Xenopus tropicalis: one gene and its partner. The main gene of each other region encodes a partner of the protein of the gene in region 2 in a complex. Links are inferred from orthologs where the notes say so. Each region holds a gene or a part of one and is shown on either strand. Other genes may lie near its edges.

What was found. Proteins that work in one complex are often made in the same cells at the same time.
Region 1: the proteins of alk (region 2) and alkal2 are in contact, whole or in part, in a cryo-EM structure (PDB 9G5I), measured with the Homo sapiens proteins. The link is inferred for Xenopus tropicalis from reciprocal best matches to the Homo sapiens genes ALK and ALKAL2. Residues at the interface, in NP_004295.2 of Homo sapiens: Leu684, Tyr739, His755, Ser758, Leu760, Phe856, His857, Glu859, Leu965, Tyr966, Thr967, Pro968, Leu970, Lys971, Val972, Met973, Glu974, Glu978, Asn980, Val992, Glu994, Cys995, His996, Met997, Phe1007, Asp1009; in NP_001002919.2 of Homo sapiens: Ser112, Lys113, His114, His116, Arg117, Leu118, His120, Asn121, Thr122, Arg123, Asp124, Arg133, Arg136, Leu137, Arg140, Leu141.

What each region holds. Positions count from the first base shown.
Region 1 is NC_030681.2:133,736,500-133,740,801, forward strand, and holds the start of alkal2 (ALK and LTK ligand 2), read right to left. Parts: upstream 2,824-4,302; 5' UTR 843-2,823; intron 782-842; exon of another isoform or gene 278-781; 5' UTR 227-277; coding exon 1-226. UniProt on the Homo sapiens protein: Cytokine that acts as a physiological ligand for receptor tyrosine kinases LTK and ALK, leading to their activation. Cytokine-binding is sufficient to activate LTK. In contrast, ALKAL2-driven activation of ALK is coupled with heparin-binding to ALK.
Region 2 is NC_030681.2:6,140,112-6,143,707, forward strand, and holds part of alk (ALK tyrosine kinase receptor), read right to left. Parts: intron 2,408-3,596; coding exon 2,343-2,407; intron 341-2,342; coding exon 211-340; intron 1-210. UniProt on the Homo sapiens protein: Neuronal receptor tyrosine kinase that is essentially and transiently expressed in specific regions of the central and peripheral nervous systems and plays an important role in the genesis and differentiation of the nervous system.

The DNA of each region.
Region 1 (4,302 bases), about 130 Mb from region 2:
TGGGGTTCTCCTTCTCGTCCAGGCTGTAGTCTTCTTTCCTGGCCAAATGCTGCTTCCCATTGCCTTCCTGCAGACGGTACACTTTAACCTCTTTAATGAGTCTCACAATGAAGTTCATCAGGTTTTTCTCAGTTATATTCCTGGAGTCAGTCCTCTCTTTGCAGTGGCAGGCAGGCAGCACCAAGAGCACCACAACCAGCATGGCAGCACCCCTGAGTTTATTCATAGCTGCTCCAGGTAAGCGCAATCCGTCCAGTTTGGAATCCTGCTGCTGCTGCTGCTTCGCGGACAAGTAACAATAATGAAGAAAGAATGAATAATCATGAAGTGGGTGTTTTTGTTAAGACTCCCAGCCCTGTCACTGGTGTGGTTAACCCTTTCCCTTTCACTAACAAAACTCATGTGCTCACTTTTCACTGAAACAGAGGATGAATCTAGGGACCCTGGGTACTGCAGGGAGGTTGGGGTCCCAATATGAGGGAAATGGAAAAGAGCACACAGATATGCAAGCTTTCACCCTACAGTGATTGTTGAGCTATAACTCCAAACATTCCCCAACAGCTTGCAGTTCAACAACAGCTGGAGGGGCACAGGCTGAATTAAAAAGGGTCCCTGAGATACAGGGAGGAATAGGGCAAATGTCCTATCTGTCCTACCCTAAAATATCTTCTGCCCTCCATGCAGTAATAGCCACTTTTGCAACTTGGATTCCCTAATACTAGCCATCCCCAGTAATTACTGCCAAAGAAGTGTGTTTCTGAGTTGTGCACAAGTGATACAAGTGCACAAGTGATACAAGTGCCCAAGTGATACAAGTGTAACCTAAACCACAATCACCTCACCTTGTCTGTTGCTTTCTGGCACTTTTGGAGAAAAGCTTCAGTTCTTCTGGCTGGTAAATGGCACAGACCAGTGACACTTTGGGAAAAGCTTCAGTTCTCCTGGCTGGTAAATGGCACAGACCAGTGACACTTTGGGAAAAGCTTCAGCTCTCCTGGCTGGTAAATGGCACAGAGCTTGTGGCACTTTCTAGGTTGAATCTGGGGACGGGGGGGGGGGGGGAGAGTTGCTGCGACTCTCAGCTGGTGGAAACCATCGCCAGCGCTGTGAATGGCTCTTCTATATATAGTTTAGGATGCCGGTGAGGTGGCTGCTGGGTCTGATAATATCGAATTGGATGTGGGAGGAAACAATGCAGGTTGGTGCGAGTACGTTTAGCCCCCCCAGTGCGACCCCCAGTCGCAGGACAGTAGCGCACTTTATCCACTTTGCGCTGCAGACGTAAGGAGCGCTCTCTCTCCGATGGGACTGGCTCATCAGATAGCGCTTCCCAGGGAAACCCATTGCCTTGTTCCCGGTCGCACAACTCCCTCCTGCAGGAATCGCTGCGGCTTCTACCGGGAAACGATTTAACTGGAAATGTACAGATCGCGCTTTGCTTGGAATCTGGGGCCCTTGGGCTGATGGTCAGGCTGCCTGGCAGGGGCCCCACTCCGGCTCCCTATATGCACCCTGTACTGCCCAGTGGCCCTCACTCTCTTACTCTGCTTTCTCTATGGGCGGAAGAATTGAAAGTAAATGCGCTCAGGTTGAATTTTGTATTAAAACTGCTGTGTGCCCCCCACATTGCTTTTACCCTAGGCGCAATATAACATGGCGATTGCATTATCTTCTGCTTTTGTTTTAGGTGCAGATCTGCTAAATACCCCCAACTTTACCCCTCCTACTGGCACAGGGTCCAACAGGTGCAGATCTGCTAAATACCCCCAACTTTACCCCTCCTACTGGCACAGGGTCCAACAGGTGCAGATCTGCTAAATACCCCCAACTTTACCCCTCCTACTGGCACAGGGTCCAACAGGTGCAGATCTGCTAAATACCCCCAACTTTACCCCTCCTACTGGCACAGGGTCCAACAGGTGCAGATCTGCTAAATACCCCCAACTTTACCCCTCCTACTGGCACAGGGTCCAACAGGTGCAGATCTGCTAAATACCCCCAACTTTTCCCCTCCTACTGGCACAGGGTCCAACAGGTGCAAATTGCTAAATACCCCCAACTTTTCCCTTCCTACTGGCACAGGGTCCAACAGGTGCAGATCTGCTAAATACCCCCAACCTTGCCCCTCCTACTGGCACAGGGTCCGACAGGTGCAGGTCCGCTAAATACCCCCAACTCTGCCCTTCCTACTGGCACTGGGTCCAACAGGTGCAGATCTGCAAAATACCCCCAACTCTGCCCTTTCTTTCAGCAAGGGGACCTTTGGGTACAGATCTGCAAAAGAAGAGCCCCAACTGTGCTTTCCCTAGTGGGACCCCAGTATCTCCCTACTGGTACAGGGATGCCCCGGTGGATATATGCAATGGAATATCCCCATTCTGCCTTCCCTGCTGCCATAGGGGCCCAGGTACAAATGTGCTTGGGAATATCCCCATTCTGCCTGCCCTGCTGCCATAGGGACCCAGGTACAAATGTGTTTGGGAATATCCCCATTCTGCCTGCCCTGCTGCCATAGGGACCCAGGTACAAATGTGCTTGGGAATATCCCCATTCAGCCTGCCCTGCTGCCATAGGGACCCAGGTACAAATGTGCTTGGGAATATCCCCATTCTGCCTGCCCTGCTGCCATAGGGACCCAGGTACAAATGTGCTTGGGAATATCCCCATTCTGCCTGCCCTGCTGCCATAGGGACCCAGGTACAAATGTGCTTGGAAATATCCCCATTCTGCCTGCCCTGCTGCCATAGGGACCCAGGTACAAATGTGCTTGGGAATATCCCCATTCAGCCTGCCCTGCTGCCATAGGGACCCAGGTACAAATGTGCTTGGGAATATCCCCATTCTGCCTGCCCCGCTGCCATAGGGACCCAGGTACAAATGTGCTTGGGAATATCCCCATTCTGCCTGCCCTGCTGCCATAGGGACCCAGGTACAAATGTGCTTGGAAATATCCCCATTCTGCCTGCCCTGCTGCCATAGGGACCCAGGTACAAATGTGCTTGGGAATATCCCCATTCTGCCTGCCCTGCTGCCATAGGGTCCCAGGTACAAATGTGCTTGGGAATATCCCCATTCTGCCTGCCCTGCTGCCATAGGGTCCCAGGTACAAATGTGCTTGGGAATATCCCCATTCTGCCTGCCCAATAGGCTGCTCAGTCAGTTGCAGATGCCAAACAACAGTGCACTCACACCTTGTCACACTGGAGGATGCCAAATGGCAGGGGAGGCTTTCCCCAGCTCAGGCAGTCAAGGTGAATGATGGAAAAATCTGATCTTGTTGAACTTTTCTATTTGCTTTCATTTGTGTGTTTACCACTCCCAGCAGAAAGCAAATAATGTGTATGATCGCGGCTTTTCTGGATGTGAAGAAGTAGAACGGGACAGAAATAGGGTGTAAACAATGATAATACCCAGAAGAGCGACAGTTTCATCCCTAAAGACTTACAGGCACACTATGTCATTAAGGGATCAAAGAGCATGCCTTTGTGTCACACTATTCCTGCACTGTATGGCCTCTCCTTGAGCGACACACCCTGGCACATACTGGAATTGCACTCTCAAATGTTTCCTCAGTTTCATATAGCATTTATGCTTGAAATGTCAGGCTCAGGCTGCTTGGTTTTAGAACATAAAAACTATTACATTAAACACTTACTGTATAGTTAAAATATAGCCAGTTACATGCACTGATACTAGATGGTTCTGCCCAGGACAAGGTTAGATTGCAACAACTGGGGCCCAGAGTAAGTACTAAGAAAAATACTGAAATCATGGTCTGACTTCCCAGCACTACTGCTGGCCGTGCAGATAGAACATATAATTGTAGGTCGACAGTAATGTTTCCTCTTTAGGATAGTCTGTGAAATGTAAGAGAATTACTGGGGATGAAGAGAAGGTTGTGGCCACTCATTTATTACACTGAAGTCTTTATTTTTAACAACTACACGATTATTAAATGCTATTTTCCCTTCAGTCGGTAAAAATTCTGTTAGTTACTGAGCTGGAAACAGACTAAAGGGCATCTCTTTCCCCCATGATGTCTCCACCTTGGATCGCATTGTCTTCTTCTGTCATCTTGAGTCTCTGGCTGTTTGATAGGAACTTACTCACCATAACAACAGCAAAGGGAAAGTTTACTTAATGATACGACAGTGTTAAACAGTTATATAAAGTGTTTCCTCTGTCTTTATTGGGAATGGTTATTGACTGATTTAACTTAACAGTATTTTTGATTTTGCATTTTTTTGCAGTAGAATACATAAAAGTTTTATTTTTATTTATTGATATCCCCCTCCCCCCCAG
Region 2 (3,596 bases):
GTTCATGTAAAGGCGAGCCAGCCATTTAAAGGGCATATAAACCCCACACAAAGGTCCATAATGCAATTAAGCAACAAAAGATTGAGCTTTTCCCCCCCAAGTGGAACAAACATGGAGGCCGCTGTGTGTGTCACGGATCCAGGCTAATGGGGCTCTGCAGTGGGGCCGGGGGGCTCTGCAGCACAAGGAGCAGACAAGGGGGGGTCTCACCAGCCGGGGCCGCGTCTGCCTGAGGAAGGATTTCAGGTCCCCTCCGGCCATGAGTTCCAGGAGGATAAACCGGGGCAGCGCCTGCAGGCTGACACCGATGCACCGCACTATGTTCTGGTGGCTGAATTTACTGGGAGAGAGAGAGAGAGAGAATACGTGAGGTTCTGGCTCCGACCCAAATGTAATTACCATTCCCACATCTCAACGGTCAGAAGGACATGAAGGTCAGTGTTTTGCACATAAATATTGTATTGTCCCTGCCGACCTGTCCTCCCCCTCACGGTACCGACCCCTCCTGGTACCGACCCCTCCCCACCCTCCCGGTATCGACCCCTCCCCACCCTCCCGGTACCGACCCCTCCCCACCCTCCCGGTACCGACTCCTCCCCACCCTCCCGGTACCGACTCCTCCCCACCCTCCCGGTACCGACCCCTCCCCACCCCTCCCCGGTACCGACCCCTCCTGGTACCGACCCCTCCCCACCCTCCCGGTACCGACCCCTCCTGGTACTGACCCCTCCCCACCCTCCCGGTACCGACCCCTCCTGGTACCGACCCCTCCCCACCCTCCCGGTACCGGACCCCTCCTGGTACCGGACCCCTCCCCCACCCTCCCGGTACCGACCCCTCCCGGTACCGACCCCCCCCCACCCTCCCGGTACCGACCCCTCCCGGTATCGACCCCTCCCCACCCCTCCTCAGATTTGATAATCAAGCCTGTCCGTTCTACATCTGCCCAATTCTAGGCTGTGAGTCGGGGAGGCCTGTCGGCCCTTAAGGTCCCCATACACGGGCCGACTATAGCTGCCGATATGGGTCCCTTGGACCGATTCGGCAGCTAATCGTCCCGTGTATGGGGAGAGCAGAGCGGCCTGGCCTGGCCGACCGATATCTGGCCAGATCTCGATCGGCCAGGTTAGAAAATCCGGTCGGATCAGGGACCGCATCGGCTCGTTGATGCGGTCCCCGATCCGACTGCCCCATTGCCGCCCACATAATCCGATCGTTTGGCCCCAGGGCCAAACGATCGGATTATTTTTTTTTTTACCTAAATACTCCCCGATATCGCCCACCCGTAGGTGGGGATATCGGGGGAAGATCCGTTCGCTTGGCGACATCGCCAAGCGAGCGGATCTGCTCGTGTATGGCCACCTTTAGTCGGTCGTAACGACCCCAATGTTTATCGGCCGCTGCCCGGCACTTTGCCCTGAGATTTCACTAGGGTTCCCTTGGGTGCTCTGGGTCACATTTTATTTCTCTTTGTCTCCAGGAACAGCACCCACGTGAGGGGCATAAGCGGGTGCCCAATTCCTACAGTGAGAAAGAGCCAATTAGGCCCGAAACGTTGCTGCTGCCCGCATTGTGACAATAAAGGCAATTTAATAAAATAAACGTGGGGCAGTTTAGGCCAAAACCCCAATGGGCCCGACCCAGACACCCAGCGATGCCCCACAAACCAGACTCAAAGCCCTTATTGGCCGGGGCCCCAGTAGAACCATTTCCGACCCGTGTTGGTTTCAGACCCTGAGTGACAAGGGCAGTTCTACTTAATGGCGACAAACCCATTGAGTGGCTGTAGCCGATTGTGCTGATTGTGTGGCTTCTAATGGGGACAGTAAGGGACCGTTTAACCTTCACCCTGACAGCCAATCGAGCGCAGTCACATCATTAACAGCCGGGGGCCACACTTCGCTGGTTCTATTGATGTTCTGTCTCCAGTTCCACCGGCTCATTATCAGCCTGCTGTCCCTGCAGAACCCGCTGGGCCCCCAGCCAGGAACAGAAAGCAACAGAGCCCCCCCTTACTCAGGGGCCCCCCAGCTGTTTGTCACTCACAGTCGGGCCCTGTGTAATGGTTCCTCCTTGCTAAGAACCCCAGTGTGGGGGATTCAAGAACCCGCTGGTACCTGCACATTGCAGGCTTGGGGTAATTCAGAGATTGGCACCGGTGCCCCGGGGCACTGAGGTCCGGCATTTAGCATGGAAACGTGCAACGGGCCCGATACCCAGAACCACTCTGTGTGCTGACCTCTGGGTAATGCCAGGGCCTATTATGAGTCTTACTTCGGACCTGTCTGGGTAACAAGGGGAACCGGCTGGCTCGGCTCTTGATATTAACCAGGGCCCCCTACCTTATAATCAGAGCTTCCATCAGAAAGTCCAGTTCGTCTTGTTCGGAACAAACTTCTGGAAGAGTCTAGAAATAGAAATAAGAACCAACGTCATTAAAGTATCAGGTCCAACAAGACTTCATCTGCCCTCACCCCAATATGAATAGATGAACCCCAAGGTATTACCCCCCCCCTCATTCCCCAACTCAGCTGACAAATAACTCGGCTCCTAACGAGGAAGCAGTGACCTTTGGGCCCCGTTGGAATCAATACTCCCAGTCTGTCTCTAAACCAATAGGAACGCAGCGTGCAGTAAAGATGGATATTCCCCCCCGGGAGTCATTTATCAGCAGAAACCGATATTAATCTCACTAATTTCTCTCATCCGCTGCCCAAAAGGGCACAGAAACGCAACTGCTCTCCGGCGGTATCTGGATCTGATTTTAGGGGATGTTTCCAATCCGGCACTGAGAACGGAGCAAATCCAGACCCCGGGGGCACGTGTTTTTAGAATGGGCATCTCTTAGTACTGGCTTACCTATTGTTTCTCCTACTCCCATGTAACTGGAGGAGTCCCAAGCCGGACTTGGATTTCTTACTATTGAGTGCTATTCTGATACCTACTGGGAGCTGCTATCTTGCTCCCTTCCCATTGTTCTGCTGATCGGCTGCTGGGGGTGAGGGGGGGGGGATATCACTCCAACTTGCAGCGCAGCAGTAAAGTGTGCCTGAGTCTGAGCTTTCAGAAGGAGCCAGCGCTACACATTAGAACTGCTTTCAGCTAACCTATTGTTTCTCCTACTCCCATGTAACTGGGGGAGTCCCAAGCCGGACTTGGATTTCTTACTATTGAGTGCTATTCTGATACCTACTGGGAGCTGCTATCTTGCTCCCTTCCCATTGTTCTGCTGATCGGCTGCTGGGGGTGAGGGGGGGGATATCACTCCAACTTGCAGCGCAGCAGTAAAGTGTGCCTGAGTCTGAGCTTTCAGCCAGCGCTACACATTAGAACTGCTTTCAGCTAACCTATTGTTTCTCCTACTCCCATGTAATTGGAGGAGTTCCAAGCCGGACTTGGATTTCTTACTATTGAGTGCTATTCTGATACCTACTGGGAGCTGCTATCTTGCTCCCTTCCCATTGTTCTGCTGATCGGCTGCTGGGGGGAGGGGGGGGGATATCACTCCAACTTGCAGCGCAGCAGTAAAGTGTGCCTGAGTCTGAGCTTTCAGCCAGCGCTACACATTAGAACTGCTTTCAGCTAACCTATTGTTT